Linked DNA regions of Saccharomyces cerevisiae S288C. Changing the gene in region 1 together with any one later gene gives a genetic interaction. Each region holds a gene or a part of one and is shown in the gene's direction. Other genes may lie near its edges.

What was found.
Region 2: mutations in STR2 (region 1) and STB3 together harm fitness more than expected from each alone (negative genetic interaction), as found in Saccharomyces cerevisiae (2 studies listed by BioGRID).

The regions. Positions count from the first base shown.
Region 1 is NC_001142.9:662,719-671,478, reverse strand, and holds STR2 (cystathionine gamma-synthase), read left to right. Parts: upstream 1-4,341; coding exon 4,342-6,261; downstream 6,262-8,760. Other genes in the region: NMD5 (Nmd5p), read right to left, coding at 1-1,957; MNS1 (mannosyl-oligosaccharide 1,2-alpha-mannosidase), read right to left, coding at 2,186-3,835; EFM3 (protein-lysine N-methyltransferase), read left to right, coding at 6,460-7,479; YJR128W (uncharacterized protein), read right to left, coding at 8,199-8,558; RSF2 (Rsf2p), read left to right, coding at 8,420-8,760. UniProt on the Saccharomyces cerevisiae protein: Catalyzes the formation of L-cystathionine from O-succinyl-L-homoserine (OSHS) and L-cysteine, via a gamma-replacement reaction. In the absence of thiol, catalyzes gamma-elimination to form 2-oxobutanoate, succinate and ammonia.
Region 2 is NC_001136.10:790,723-798,114, reverse strand, and holds STB3 (Stb3p), read left to right. Parts: upstream 1-4,225; coding exon 4,226-5,767; downstream 5,768-7,392. Other genes in the region: Arf family guanine nucleotide exchange factor SEC7, read left to right, coding at 1-1,922; YDR169C-A (uncharacterized protein), read left to right, coding at 3,392-3,541; Hsp90 co-chaperone CDC37, read right to left, coding at 6,267-7,392.

The DNA.
Region 1 (8,760 bases):
TCGACAAAATACCTAGCGCCGCCATTTGCTTGTCAGATTCATCGGGTATGCTATCAACGTTCGTGAAGGAATCTGGATCCAAATTGGATGTTTCATGCAGATCAATAGCTAATTTCAAAAACTGTTGGACCAAAGTGTTCATTAATTCAACACCAAAAGGTTGTAATTGCTCAGCAAACTGCTCCACAAAATCTTGCATAACGCCTGAAATGACATCAGATTCAAAATCATTAGACAAACTTAGTAATTTCTGCATAGTAGGAACAACGTGTTCGGATAACTTCATATTAAACTGGTCATCACTGATAAAAGTTTGCAATGCCAATGCAGCTGTCAATTCTACAGGTAAAGAATTAGAAGAGTTATTCAGACAATTCATAACACCTTCGTAGATAGTAGAGGTTATTACCGGGTCTTTGAAATCCATAGAACCCAACTTCGAACAAATATCGCAAACACGACTTTGCAGAAACCCATACTGAGACTTAAAAAAAGGTAAAACGTATGTCAATATAAACTTTTCCATCTCACTGGCAAATGGAGAATCTTTAGTTATCAAACGGTCAATAATGCTGGAGAATATTCTCAAACAGGACTCAATTTGCAAGGCATTATCCAACATAATATTGTTGTAATCACCAACGGCACTTTGTAAGGTTGAGACCATAAATTCTAAGGTCGGTTGTAAGGTCGTTTTACCGCGTTTCGTCACGCATGTCGTTAGCAAAGCCAGTGCGGCAAGATCTGGGGAATAGCCGACATCCCAAAAGTCCATATTCCGGTTGATATATTCTTGAGGGTCATTGTCAAAGGCCTCCAAAGTCTCTGCAGTGGGCTTTAGTAGTGGGAAAATGACATGTTGAAGTATTACATTGTAGTGGGGCCCAACAAGTTTCCAAGTTGTTTTCTGCACAACACACTGCTCAACAAAGTTCAATATGTAGTATAAGCATTCGTCACTTAACCACAACTGTCCAGTTCCCCATTTCTCGATTTGATCGAAGACGACTTGCAAAAACTGAGTCAAAAACTCTTCACAGTACATCTGTTTAAACTCATCGTACTGAAACTTCCTTGTTAATGACGTTGATGCGTATCTCTGGAAAAGTCTATAAAGGTTTGCAAGAGCCCATTTCTTACATTTGACCCATGGATTTTTACTTCTGACCTCAATATCTGATATAGCCAAAACTTCCTGAGGCAATGGCTGCTGAATGATGCTGACAAAAAAACATGCCCATGGGGTAAACGATTCTGAGCGTTGTAATGTAAATGGTAGGTCATGGTATGAAACGAACTTATAAATTTTAATGATTAATTTTACCAATTCGCCAATTTGCTCGTTATTCATATATTTACCATCTTGGAAAAGGACATTTGCGCCATAGTTTAATAAAGCAGGGAAATAATTTAAAATCAACTCTTCTAAGTCCTGTCTTTCATCATTATTCTTCCACCTATAGGTCCTAAAAATCTCAGCAAGACACAGAAGTCCGACATATGTTACTGTGATGTCTTCATTTGCGAGTAATTCTAAGGAATTTGGTAACAAATTGCCCCATTTTTTGCTAGGGTAATCTTCTGAAATAATTACAGTAAGGGCAGATTTTAGCACTCTGATACAACGCGGGGAGGTCTTGGACACACTGACCATTGTTTTAATTAACATATCTTTTACTACTGGTTTTTCATCCGGATCAACATGTGAATCTAATAATTCATTTGAACCCTGTCTTGCACCAGCAGACCATCCGTATGTAATCTTATTCTTGAAATATAAGGAAGCTGATAATTTGATGTTTTCTGGTACTTCATCAGCAGCAATGATATCCAGGCATGCGCCTAAGAATCCCGGTACTTTACTTGCATTTTTAAGATGTGTTTCTGCATTAGTTCTTACGGCAGCGTTATGGTCCAAAGTACAGGCAAAGCACTGTAACAATTCTGTAATATCCATCGAGAATAAAATGTCTTCGTCAAAATCAAAATTGTGTCAAATATCCAGACGAAAAATGATTGATTATGCTGAAATATATAAATGAATATTGATTCAAATATACTTTTTTGCTGAAGTAAGCATTGCAAATTTTTCATTTTCCTAAACATGGAAAAAATGGTATAGCACATCATCACACCGCATAGTGAATTTTAAAAGGCGAATCTGGCCACTATATAGCACACTAACCTACAACGACCAACCTGTGGTCAGAGACTGCGATTTTAATATTTCTTCGTCTAATACTGGAAAAGGATGAGCTTCTGTGTTGAAAACAACTTTGGTCAAATCAAACTCGTCTAAAAACAATATATATAAATACTTTAAAGTCTCTGCCAACCAGAAACTTTCCATATTGTTAGATTTCTTTGTAGGTAACGTGATACAATCACTTAAACTGGTGAACCGCCTTAATTTTGGGTCATTACAATCAACACAGGTATTTTCAAAGAAGCTAGTTGCGATTTCCGCCCCCCATTCACGATATTTGTGATCATGAGATAAATGATACATGAACATAATCGATTCCACCGTTTCTGGTCTTTGTAGGTTGTGCCTATCGAGTGGTTTAACAAAAAAATCACCCACAGACGACCGCCACCAACCATCCTGTTTTATGTTTCCATCATTGAAGACAACGATTTCAGGCGCAAGCCCCGAGGAAGACTGCTTGTACATTTGATAACATGTGTCAGTTATCCCTTTAGCCAAATCCCAGTCACTTTTTCTTTCAAGGGAAAGAGAGAAAAACGGACGTCTTCGGGCTTCATGAATAGAAAGGCCCTCAGTAGAGCCTGATGCTAACAATCCCCCCATAAAGCACACGAGGTGGTCCATCTTAGGAGAAAGTTGTCCATGTAGACCTTGTTCTCTTTCCCCAATGTACCACAGAGAAGAGGGTTTGGATTGTGCTAATAAATGCTTTTTCATACCTTCCATGGATTTTCTGTACAGATCATAATAAAGTGTTTCGTGCGTCAATAAATATTGTTTTAGTAAATACTCATAAAAAGAATCACCTCTTGATCCGAACCGGATAGTCGAAGCACCAAACTTCCCAGTATCTGGAAATGTATAAATTGGAACCAATCCATCGTAGGTATTTAGAAGATCGTTATTTTTGTATAATGGCTCGTAAACACGCTCCACCAGCTCCCAATAAGTACGATTTCCTGTCAAATACGCCAGATATTTGAATTCCATTTGTAGCGTAGTGAATTCTGCGGTAGAAGATGCCCCCCCATCTGCATGGTTCTTAACCGCTTGGCCACTATGAAGGTTTATACTTGAGTATGGAATTCCGGTCTGAGTGGATAAGAACGCCAAAGCAAGCCTATCCCCCAAATCTATTGCTTTGTTCAAGTAGACAGTCTTATTACCTACTTCTAAAACATCAGATAGATGATATGCGGATAATAAACCACCTAGCATTCTAATAGTAGTTTCAAAAACATTCACTTCGGCATCAATATCAAAATCCAAAACATCGTTTATCCAATGCTCCGATCTCTGAATTTCTGCCTCGAACTCACTTTTGTATAGTGTGGAGGAGTTATACATTAACATCAAGGTATCCACTGAATCTACGATAATCCAGCCTAACGGCTGGTTGCCACGAGGCATATTATGGGAAGTGTGCTCAATAGGTCCATACACATCGTATCCCCAGCCATGCTTGGAATAGTCTCTCCACGATTCCAAGAACATGCTTTCAATCCGATCTCTCATTTCTCCGGCCCCCGGTGACTTTCTCTCAAAGTGTTCGTACCATGGCACATAGTATATAGCTGCTATGATAGCAACAATGGTTGCAATTGAAATACCGACAGAGTTCTTCATAGAATCCTTTTTCAATGTTTAACCTTTTCCTCTTTTACTACCTTTTTCTGTCGTCTTTCGTTTCTTGGCAAAGCACATTTCTTTCATTCTTTCGTTTGGCGAAACTGAAAATTCCAAATAATTGCTCTTCCACAGAAAATGCGTTACAACCAAAGTGAATTTGTAAAAGTTTAACCCCACATTTTGCTACAGTCTTATTTAAAAATAGCAGTATTCATATTAAAATATCTTGCGGTTTAAGAACTCAATTAACTTCAATGATTGCCAGTGTTGTTCAGGTAAAACCCTTCAAACCTAGTAAATATGACTTATCTTCATGCGTGGATGTAAAAAACAAAAATCATGATAGCGCCTCTGCACTTCACAATATCTCGGTCTAAAAATTAGTCATATATTTTGGATATATATATATATATATACCCATATATATAACGATAGTAGAATGACGCTCATGTGCCGATTCGGGACCTACATAAACAAGAGAGAGAAGAGGAACAGAAGAAAAAATGATATCTAGAACCATTGGTGAATCTATTCCGCCCAACACAAAACATGCTGTTTCCGTGTGTTTGCCCACATGGGAAGCTACAGTAGGCTATGAAGAGGGTGAAAGCAGTATAATTAACTCGCTTACTACCGGATATCCAAGATTTTTCATACACAAGTCAATAAAGAAATTATGTGAAATTTTATCCGCTAAGTACTCCATGGAAGATGAAGCTTGTCTTTGCTTCCCCTCTTACAAGGTTGCCAATAGGTGCAGAGAGTTTATCAAAGTGAAAACGGGTCTTTCTACCAAAGTACGCATCTTACAACTATGTACACCTAAACCTATGAACCAAGAGGAAAAGCTCTGGAGAAGGGAATGTAAAATCACGGTGGTGTTTGTAGACCAGGAAATATTCCCCGTGATGAAGCAGTATTGGCAACATTCTGGTGAGATTGTATCTAGCAGAATGGCGGAGTATATTTTACATGAATTACAAGTCAAGGATAATCTTAAGAAGATGGAAACAGTGGATAACGGTAAAAAATTTATGACCGAAGATGAAAACAGAGTGAACGAAGAATATATAGAAACGAGATTTGGGAGAAATTTAAATTTTCTTGCTGCTGATAAAGCCAAATATCTAATACGAAAGAGGATTGCCACAAAAGTTGTTGAAAAAATTGACTCTGAAGGTCTATCGGACCTATTCTCTTTTGAACACTATAACGAGAGCAACGGTCCATTCAATGTTGGCAGTGGAGAGGCTCTGGATGATGATCAGTTGAATTCGGACATACCTGCCGAAACAATTACTTCTATGGGAGAAAGTGGCTCAAACAGTACTTTTGAAAACACAGCTACCGATGACTTGAAGTTTCATGTCAACCCTAATACGGATGTTTACTTATTTCCAAGTGGAATGGCGTCCATTTTCACTGCCCACAGGCTGCTTTTAAACTTCGATGCCAAGCGCTTATCAAGGTCTTCTAGTAGACAAGATAAGTTGATTGGATATGGACCTCCGTTCAAGAAGACCGTCATGTTTGGATTCCCATATACAGATACTCTGAGCATTCTTCGGAAGTTCAATCACACACATTTCTTGGGACAGGGAGATTCAACGTCAATGAACGCTCTGAAAAATATTTTACATTCTGGTGAGCAAATACTGGCGGTATTTATAGAAGCTCCATCGAACCCACTGTTGAAAATGGGAGATTTACAAGAACTGAAAAGGCTATCAGACTTGTATTCATTTTACATAGTGGTCGATGAAACTGTGGGTGGCTTTGTCAATATAGATGTATTACCGTATGCCGATATTGTTTGTAGTTCGCTAACGAAAATCTTCAGCGGCGACTCGAACGTTATTGCAGGATCCTTAGTACTAAATCCTAGAGGAAAGATTTATGAGTTTGCTAGAAAATTTATGAAGACTGAAGACGGATATGAAGATTGCCTATGGTGCGAAGATGCGTTATGCCTGGAAAGAAATTCGAGAGACTTCGTGGAACGTACAATCAAGGTGAATACAAACACTGATATATTGTTAAAAAGGGTGTTATTGCCTCAGGTGGGAAAATTGTTCAAGAAAATATATTACCCCAGTTTAACATCAGAGGATACCAAGCGGAATTATGACAGCGTTATGTCTACAAAAGATGGTGGGTATGGAGGTTTATTTTCACTAACTTTTTTCAATATTGAAGAGGCAAAGAAGTTTTTCAATAATCTGGAATTGTGCAAAGGACCTTCTCTCGGTACGAATTTCACTTTGGCGTGTCCATATGCTATTATTGCCCACTACCAGGAATTAGACGAGGTAGCTCAATATGGTGTCGAAACAAATCTTGTAAGAGTGAGCGTCGGTTTGGAAAATAGCGACGTTTTATGCAATGTTTTTCAGCGTGCCATTGAGAAAGCTTTAGGGGAATAAAGCCAAAATGTTTATATGTATTAGAAAACTCTGTAGAAAATTTTAATGCTGATTGTCCGGACACGACAAACAGCGAAATAAATACTAGCAGTTAGTACATCATCGCAAAAATGATGAAGAATGTATAAGTAAATGAAAAAGGAAAAGAAAGCAGAAAAATCGAGCTAGTAAAACTTGACCCTCCTCGTCAAAGATAACATGAATGAAGATCTATTCTACGATAGATTACATCAGCGGTGCCCTGGAAAATACTTGCTAGAAGAGTTGGAAACAAGCAAATCTAACGATGTCCTGCATGCATCGAGATTTGTTTGTGAGATGGAACTTGTGCAAAAGACGAATGCATATTATTGCAAAACCATAGTCAAGATGCTCTTAGACCACGAATGGATTTTCGCGAAGGCATTCACAATTGTCAACGATGGCGAAGACGAGATAGAGATATATGATTATCTCTATGAGAAGTACATAAAACTATTAAGCACAGGCAAGCCAGACCCGATGATGAAAGACGTCGTGAGGTACAGGTTTGACGAGGACGTAAAGATCAAAATTGAGGAAACACCGAATTTGATCAGTGCGGCCAGTACTACAGGTTTCAGGACATGGGAAGCTGCCTTATACATGGGTGATTTCCTTATTCATAAGCCCTTACAAGAGTTGGCACCGGTACAAGGACAAGACGATGGCAAGAAAAAATTAAATGTTCTTGAGGTCGGCGCTGGCACAGGCATAGTGAGTCTCGTCATTTTACAAAAGTATCACGAGTTCGTAAATAAGATGTACGTCACGGATGGTGATTCGAATCTCGTTGAGACGCAGCTGAAAAGAAATTTTGAATTGAACAATGAAGTGCGTGAGAACGAACCAGACATCAAGTTGCAAAGATTATGGTGGGGCAGCGATAGAGTTCCTGAGGATATAGATTTAGTAGTGGGGGCAGATGTTACGTATGACCCAACTATCCTTCCTGATCTATGCGAGTGTCTGGCCGAATGTCTTGCTTTAGACCGATGCAAACTGTGTCTCCTATCCGCGACAATTAGAAGCGAATCCACTGTCCAACTGTTTTCTCAAGAGTGCAATAAACTCGGGCTAAAATGTACCATAGTCACCAGCACAGAGTACGACGCAAACAACGAGATCCGCGCGATGAAAGCCCTGCAATTCAAACCTTTGATTGCACCCATACGGATCTACAAGATCACGAAACAATAAGATACATGTGCAAGTACAAGTTCAAAAATAAAACATAACTAAAAAAAAAAAGAAAAAAAATATAGTCATCTTCTGACACTCGAGTCTCATTCAGCTAATCAAAACAACTAGCAATCCACTCGAGTTCTTATAAATGACCCGGAAATTGATCTCTCCACATTACGCTTATCACGAATAAGACCGAGTGTTCAAATAAATAGCTCGATCTTCGTACTGTCTAATGCGGTGGATTAGTACTTTAGGACAAAGTTACTTTTTTTCGGAAGGAAACTTCAAAAATAGAATTAACAAATAAGAAGGAAAAGCGAAAAACAAATCTCATTGCCTGTGCTTTCTTTTATACTTTTTTTTTTCGCTCGGAACCTCTTGCTTATACACGGTTTTTTTCCACGGAAACCTCGGTTACCCTTCAATTACTGGAACGTTAGGGCACAATCTAACAAATATATATACTGGCTTACAAGATGTAACAAACTACGAATAGTGGTACGAAGCTTATCACATGCACCATTATCTGTAACTGGGTTGCCGCCAACAGCAGACTCATGGGCTGGTTGAAAAAATCTTGGAAAACAGAGATAAACAGCTCGGCAGATAACATTTCCTGCGACCTTAATGCTGCGTTAGGTGTAATTGTCGCAATTTGCGGCCGGCCATAGTTGTTCGTGCTACAATATATGGAAGAAGCAACTGTTTTTGAATCAACGGTAGTAACGACCTTATATCATCATACACGAAAATACGCACAGACGGGGGTGAACCACTCCAGGGGCAGAGTAGAGTGTACAAGGAAAATTGTGATCTCGCCGCACGGTGCTGCATCGCGGAAATTCTCCGTAGGGCAACGGATAAGGTAACTGCGTATGCGGCATCGACAATAGGTAACTACGCGAGCAACTTCTATTAAGAGAAATAATTTTTGGGAAATGGCCTGTTTCGGATGGAACCGTTCGCATTTGGACGAGGGGCGCCTGCATTATGCATACTAACCGCGGCCGCTCGAATAAATCTGGACAATTTTGTTCCGTGTTGCTGGGCACTTTTCCGTCTGTCTTTCTTTTTCCCGCTTGACCCTGCATATATTAGAAACGAAAACAAAGAAACAAGGACTTCTTGGATTTCCATAGAGTTTTTTTTCTTCGTTAAACATTGCCTCTCTCAACACACGTTTTTCTCGAAGACTCTTGCACCAAAAAGAAACTTTAGGGCGAAGAAGCTAAAAGACATTGGCGATACTAGAATAGATAGGGCAGATAAAGATTTTTTATTAGTGCCGGAGCC
Region 2 (7,392 bases), on another chromosome or scaffold:
TTTTAGATATTGAGGAATTATCAGGTTTTGAATTTCAACATGATTTTTTAAAACCTTTTGAATACACGGTTCAAAATAGTGGCAACACTGAAGTTCAAGAAATGATTATTGAGTGTTTTAGGAACTTCATATTGACAAAATCGGAAAGTATCAAATCTGGCTGGAAGCCTATTCTTGAATCCTTACAATATACGGCTCGCTCAAGCACTGAATCCATTGTATTAAAGACGCAATTGCTGGTTAGCAATGATATTGTGACAAATCACTTCGAAAACGTATTCTCTCAAGAAGATGCCTTTTCTGAGTTAGTTGGTGTCTTCAGAGAAATCACCAAAAATAAGAGATTCCAAAAGCTATCTCTACATGCTTTGGAGTCTCTAAGAAAGATGACTCAGAACGTCGCAGACATCTGTTTTTACAATGAAAATAAGACTGAAGAAGAAAGAAAACATAACGATGCTTTACTTCGTGGGAAAGACATATTCCAGGATGTGTGGTTCCCTATGTTATTCTGCTTCAATGATACGATCATGACAGCTGAAGACTTAGAAGTTAGATCACGTGCATTAAACTATATGTTCGATGCCCTAGTGGCATATGGTGGTAAATTCAATGATGATTTCTGGGAAAAGATTTGTAAGAAGTTACTATTTCCTATTTTCGGTGTATTATCCAAACATTGGGAAGTCAACCAATTCAATAGTCATGATGATTTAAGTGTTTGGCTTTCGACCACGTTAATTCAAGCCTTAAGGAACTTGATTGCCCTTTTTACGCATTACTTTGAATCGTTGAACAGAATGCTCGATGGATTTTTGGGTCTGCTGGTATCCTGTATTTGTCAAGAAAATGACACTATTGCTAGAATTGGGAGATCCTGCCTGCAACAATTGATATTGCAAAACGTATCTAAATTCAATGAGTACCATTGGAATCAAATAGGTGACGTATTCGATAAATTGTTTGATTTAACCACTGCTAATGAATTGTTCGATTATGATCCGTTACAGCAAGGAAGAAAATCATCTGTATCTCATCACCAAACAACTAATGATACCAGCCAACACTCAGATGATGATAGCAACGACAGAAGGGAGAACGATTCTAATATCAGTGAGACGGTCGAAAGAGCGCATCAAGAAGAATCCAGCGAAGACGTTGGTGGTGACATGGTTGAAACACTCAATGGGCAAACTAAGCTTAATAATGGCAATTCCGTTCCGACGGTAAAGGACGAATTGAATCCAAAGCCCGCTAGTCTAAGTATCCCCAAGAAAACTAAGCACATGAAACGAAACGAAAGTAACGAAGATATACGTAGGAGAATAAACATCAAGAATTCTATTGTTGTCAAATGTGTTTTACAGCTTTTGATGATAGAGCTGCTCAACGAATTATTCGAGAACGAAGATTTTGCCCACTGTATCCCTTACAAGGAAGCCATTAGAATTACAAGATTGTTGGAGAAATCGTACGAATTTTCTCGTGACTTTAATGAAGATTATGGGTTAAGAACAAGACTAGTAGAGGCTCGTGTAGTTGATAAAATACCAAACCTGTTGAAACAAGAAACGAGTGCTGCTGCAGTTCTCCTTGACATTATGTTTCAGTTGTATCTGAACGATGATGAGAAGAAGGCTGATTTAATAACTCGTCTGATCACCATTTGCATCCAGGTCGTAGAGGGTTATGTTTCTTTGGATGATAGAACCATGGAACGTAGTATCAATGCCTGGCGTTCAGTGATAGTTGAAATATTACAAGGTTACTACGAATTTGATGATGAAGACTTTAGACTATACTGTCCTGCTATGTATGCTCTGGTGATTCAAATATTAGATAAGAGCGTTCCAACGGAGTTGAGACATGCTATAAAACAATTTCTAAGCAGAGTTGGTGAATTATACCTTTCTACTGATTAAGGCTTTGTTGAATGGTCCAGCAGATTAAAATATGCTTAGTTGTAGAACACAGAAAAAATGAGAAGGTTGATATACTTTTACTCATATTAATCCTGATTTAGTGGCGGTGATCCTTTTTAGATTCGTTTAATTCATAAACAAGGTACATCATATAGCAATAACAAATATGTAAACTATGTAGAAAGACTTATCAAGTTTAGCCATTTTGGTCCTCATTCATGGGCATTTTATACTAACTTCATTTTTGCCGAAATAAGAAAGGATGTAATCTTAACCTAAAATATGTAAGCAATTAAGGGCGCACGTAGTCACTTGCGAACAAATAGGAAAAGAAAGAAACAAGCACGGATACTGAATGACTGAGTGTATTACTACACGATTTATCTCAACGAATTTAAGTGTGGAGGACGATCGGCTGCACGTAGGAGTCAACGTTTTTTTACTGTGTTCATCACAAAACCATTAAGCTGAGTCATCCATATTGCAAACAATAAGGTAGCACCGCTTCCATCAAAACACTAGAACATACCGATGTTTTCACGGATTTATTGGAAACAAATAGCAGATGAGGGCGTTTTTACTTGTAATGAAGGCGAATGAGAAGGCAAGGCTTACAGGCTTGTTGTTTATGCCAAGCATCAATACTCGCTATGGAGGAGCGCCATCAGCGATAACAACAAAGTTTGCAAGTGCTTGCTTGGATATAAAAGGCTTGACGCTTAAGATAAATAGGGCCATACTTGCTTGCTTTTACTATTTTTGTTCCTCATAAGCCTGATTGACTACGCTATTATAAACCCCTACATTATCCTATAATCAACTTCACTTGTGTAACGTTGAATGAGTTCAACTGAGTAATACTCGGTCGGAAATATACGCTCCATCTGGCAGGAAACATAGGCTGCATTTATATCTTGCACAATTATGCCCTTCGTAGGTGTATGTTTTCATGTTTTCCATTATGTCAATGTAGATGTATCTTTGGACAGGCAACTTTTGGATCAATAAAGCACAATTTTTGAGCAATTTGAGATATCCAGTATTTGTACGGGAGTCCCAAGATTGTTTAGCCTAAAAGGTTGAGGACTTGGATTATTCTTCCATCAAGCGCCTCCACCCCTCGCATCCTATTTCTTTTGAAGCATAGGGGACGAGACTGTCTGTAATTTATGGCGAAGTATGACAAGAAAGATTCAAACTTTGTTTTACGTATGCCCCAATAAATTCTATGGTAGCACTACTAGAGACGTATTTTGGTTTTGTAATAATTTTCAAACTGCTCGCTATGATTTGTTACAAGAAACAAACAAAAGACACGACCATAGGGTTCATGTTGGTGGTTGCGAAGCCACATCTTTAAAACATTACTGCAAATTCAGCAGGAGTGAGTAGCAAAATCGACAAAAACTAGAGTACGCAACATTCCCGGTCGTAAATTTCTTATCGTGGCGCCAGAACATTCCCGTCCAATGATGAGAATGTCTCTAAAACAAATGCAGTCACAGAGATTTTCTGCGACTTCTCGAGTGAGAATGTTGCTTATTGGTGCTAGTGGCTTGAGATCTTCGTCAAGCAAATTGGAATGCCCCAGATTCTCAAACAAGCACGGCAGAAACTGAAATACGGCCAAAATTATGAACCCTTTTGTGGGATCTTTGTAGAAATAGGACCTCAGGATAGTATGATGAAGAATGTTGGCATGCTATACAATACTACAGTCATTTGCATGAATTGGCTGCTTGTATAGGAATCAGGTTGCGTTGGCAATGATATTCCCATAATAACGTGCAAAAGTCCCTACGGTAGTAGGCTGATCACTCCGCACGTGCGCGCTGAGAGGGTAGAGGCGCCTTCCTTACCTTAGTAACCGAAGAGTGAACTATTTCAGATAGTCTTTATCCTTCTCATGTTCATCTCCACACAATCTCACGCAATCCACGCTATAATATAAAGATACAGGTACGGTAATACCATCCATATCCAAGACAAATCGATTATAAAAGACACTGATTGCAAACGGTGCCTGGCAATCCTGATCAGAAGCACGTTAAATTTATCGCAAAAAAGGGCGAACTGAGATTTTCAAGAGTCGTGTCAATAACCAGTTTCCAATCGGAGCACGTGAATTTGTAACCACTTGTAAACACGATTAAAGACCGTTACTAAATTTCCGCTGAAAAGAAGGAAAAAGAGTATAGTATCATCTGAATCATTCGGTGTACAAACGCCAAGCTCCTGCTTTGTGCTTTTCTAATAAATTGAAATTTTGAATAAAAAGACATTATTTCAGACTACCACTAATAATGTCAGAAAACCAAAAGGAGGTATCGCCTCCTCAAGCCATATCGGTCAAATCCGAGGCAAGCTCTAGTATATTTTCCAAACCTATCTCCACATCATCACCCGCTGGGTTAGCAGCCGCTCAAAGAGTTACGCCCGGGAAACTGTCCACTTTATTACTAGAAATGGGACCATTGGCCATTAGACACATTACACAGACCTTATGCCTAGATATTCCCTGTTTTAAAGATTTATCATCTTCCAAGCAAAGACGACTTATAATGAGTGCTATGGAAAGTGGTGATAAAGAAAAATCAGTGGTATTTGAAAAAATTGGATGGGGTCAATGGTCCGCGAAAAGAGTAGACCCTGCCAACTTTGATAAGGAGCTGGAAGCGACCAATTTTGCAAATGCAAAGGTGAAAGACTTGATTTCTCAAGAGAGTCAAAGAAGGAAAAGCAACAATTCAAATTCTAATTCAGGCGGCAAAGTTGAAATGCCTATGAAAGTTGAGCATAATATCACGAATATCGATGGAGCCACCACCCCGCCTACCGCTGTTGCTTCCACCACCATTCCTGTTAATATCAAACGCAGCAAATCTCCACTTGCAGCAGCAAACGTAGTATATATAGATGAAAATGCGCTAGCATCGGAAGATGAGGATGAGGAGTTTGATGAAGATGACCATCATTTACATTACCAAAACAAATCGAGGAACAGCAGTAATAATTTTGGAAAATCTTCAAATGGTGATCCCTATAGTTTCGGCAGGAGAAGGTCTCAAGTTGTGTTCGCCGATTCAACTCCCGAGAATATTGAGCATGAAATAATAGCACAAAAGATTAGACCGCTATTAAGAAATAGACGCCGTTCGAGCATAAAACCACATACACCTTTCATTTCCAAACTAAACACACACCAAGATTCATCCTACCTTTCCCCCAATACAACCTCAACGACAACCCCATCAAATAACAACAGTAACTCAAACCAGGCGAAGATAGATTTAGAGAAACTTACTGCGACAAGTGAGCCAACTTCAAGAAGAGCTTCTCGTCTGTCTGTATCGAAAGAATCAAGTATTAGATCGACACTTTTCCCAAACAAAAACTATTTGATCGTCACTACAAACCCTAACTCTAAAGCTACGTCGGTTTCCACCTCCCCTAAGCTAGAAGAACAGATGAATGTAAGTTCAAATCCGATAGTATTATCGGACAAGGAGAAACATAGAGTAGCTTCACAACACCTGAATGGGGAATCGTCGCCACAACTTGTTCCCCATTCTCATCATCAACCTCACTCAGATACAGACGAAGAAGACTGGGAATCAATTGGTGCAGCTTCTCTGAGAAATAACAGTTTAGCACCTAACATAGACAGCGTAGCAAGTTCTACTAATGGCGTAGTTAGCCCTAAACCTACAAATCCAAGTTTTACTAACTCTCAGAATGGAGATATTGAGCCTCCCCTACAACACGACCAACAGAAACATGAACAGCAGCCAAGAAATGGGGAAGACAATAGTGCTGCGTTTTTATTAATGAGCTTAAAATCTTAAGAATTCTTTACCAGTTCCATGAAATAACAAAAAAACAGTAAAAAAAAAATGAAAATGAAAAAAGAATACATATTTTGTTTTAATGAAAGTTTGTTACCAAGTTTTGCTTTAAGTTTATCATCTCTGAATAATTATTTTGTCTTTTTTGTCACCACTTTTTTCTTGTCACATTTTTTTCTTCTTTTCATATTCATTTCATATATTAGCCCGTTCAATATATTTCAAAAGACCCAGTATTTTTCACATTTTACCCTTCCGATTCTTTGTGTAGTATATACAAATTACAAAAACACACACTGAGAAAAACATGCACTAATAAAAAATAAGATATTATGTACTAACGTAGGAAAGCAGGTACAAAACCTCTGCTGTAATTTCACGATTTTCTTTATTGATCATTAATTTTCTTCTTTTTTTTTTTTGTATTATGTATAAATGAAAATAACAATAAAAAAGGAAGTAGATGCACGCTGCACCAGTAAAATAGCTACATAAATTTCTAGTCAACAGTGTCGGCAGTATGTTTGACCTCTTCATGGTTATCTCCGCCACCATCACGGTCGTTTAAGGACAGATTCTCCATAGTGGCGTCTTCATGGTCCTGTTCGTATTGATCTTTCAAACTTTGAAAGTCTTTCTCGTTTTCTAAGATCGCTTTTATTCCAATAATGTCAATGTCATTAAACACTTCCAAAAGTTTCTCAGCCTCTTCAATTGGTATATCTTCAAAGACTTTATTAATATTATCCAAATTTTTGGTCATTATGGCTTCTTGCATTTTTTCCGGTATTAAAGTTTTGAAAACTTTAACCTTTTTCATCTCTTCTGGATCTTTAGAATTGAAGTCTGGCAAGTTTACTTCTAATTCTGTAGAATCATCTAGAGATTTCAATTGAATCGTCTCTACTCCTTCAGCATTCGATTCATCCATTTCCTCTTGTTGTAAAATTTTGGAACGTTTTTGAATGTGCAAAAATTTTTCTTGAACTGATCTCAAAAAAGACTCTTTACCCATTGGCTTGTCCTTGTTGAAGATAACCTTCTCGAAAAACATATTAATGACATTTGATAGTTCCATTGGATTTAAATATGGAATTTTCTTCATGTCGTAGATTTCCTTAATGTAGGCCATCAATTCGGATTGATGAATGACTTGCAAAGTCATCTTATCGTCACCATGTAACTGATACTCAAAGGCCTTCATCATTAAGGCGTCCTTTTGTTGTTCTGAAATAATAGGTAAGTGCTCCAGTAAGAATTTCTGAGATTTTGAGTACTCATTAATGGATATTTTACCGAATTCTTCAGTTTCCTTGGCCAGTTTCATAGGATCATCTTTAAAATCGATGAAAGTTTGCGGAACTGATGATTTTGCTAGTTTATTAAGAATATTAGACTCTGCAGCGCTCGAAAGAGCTTCTGAAGGAGTTGCTTCCAGTGGCTTAGCCCCCCCCTTTTGCTTGTTCATAAAGCTACTATCAAAGCCTGTATGAATGTCTTCAGATGAAATGTGTGCATTTTTCTCCTTGTATAATTCATCTAATTTCTTCTTAGCCTCTACAGTTACTGAATCGATCTTAGCCCTATGTTTCAAAATAGCATCCCTTATGAGAGATGGGCTCTTC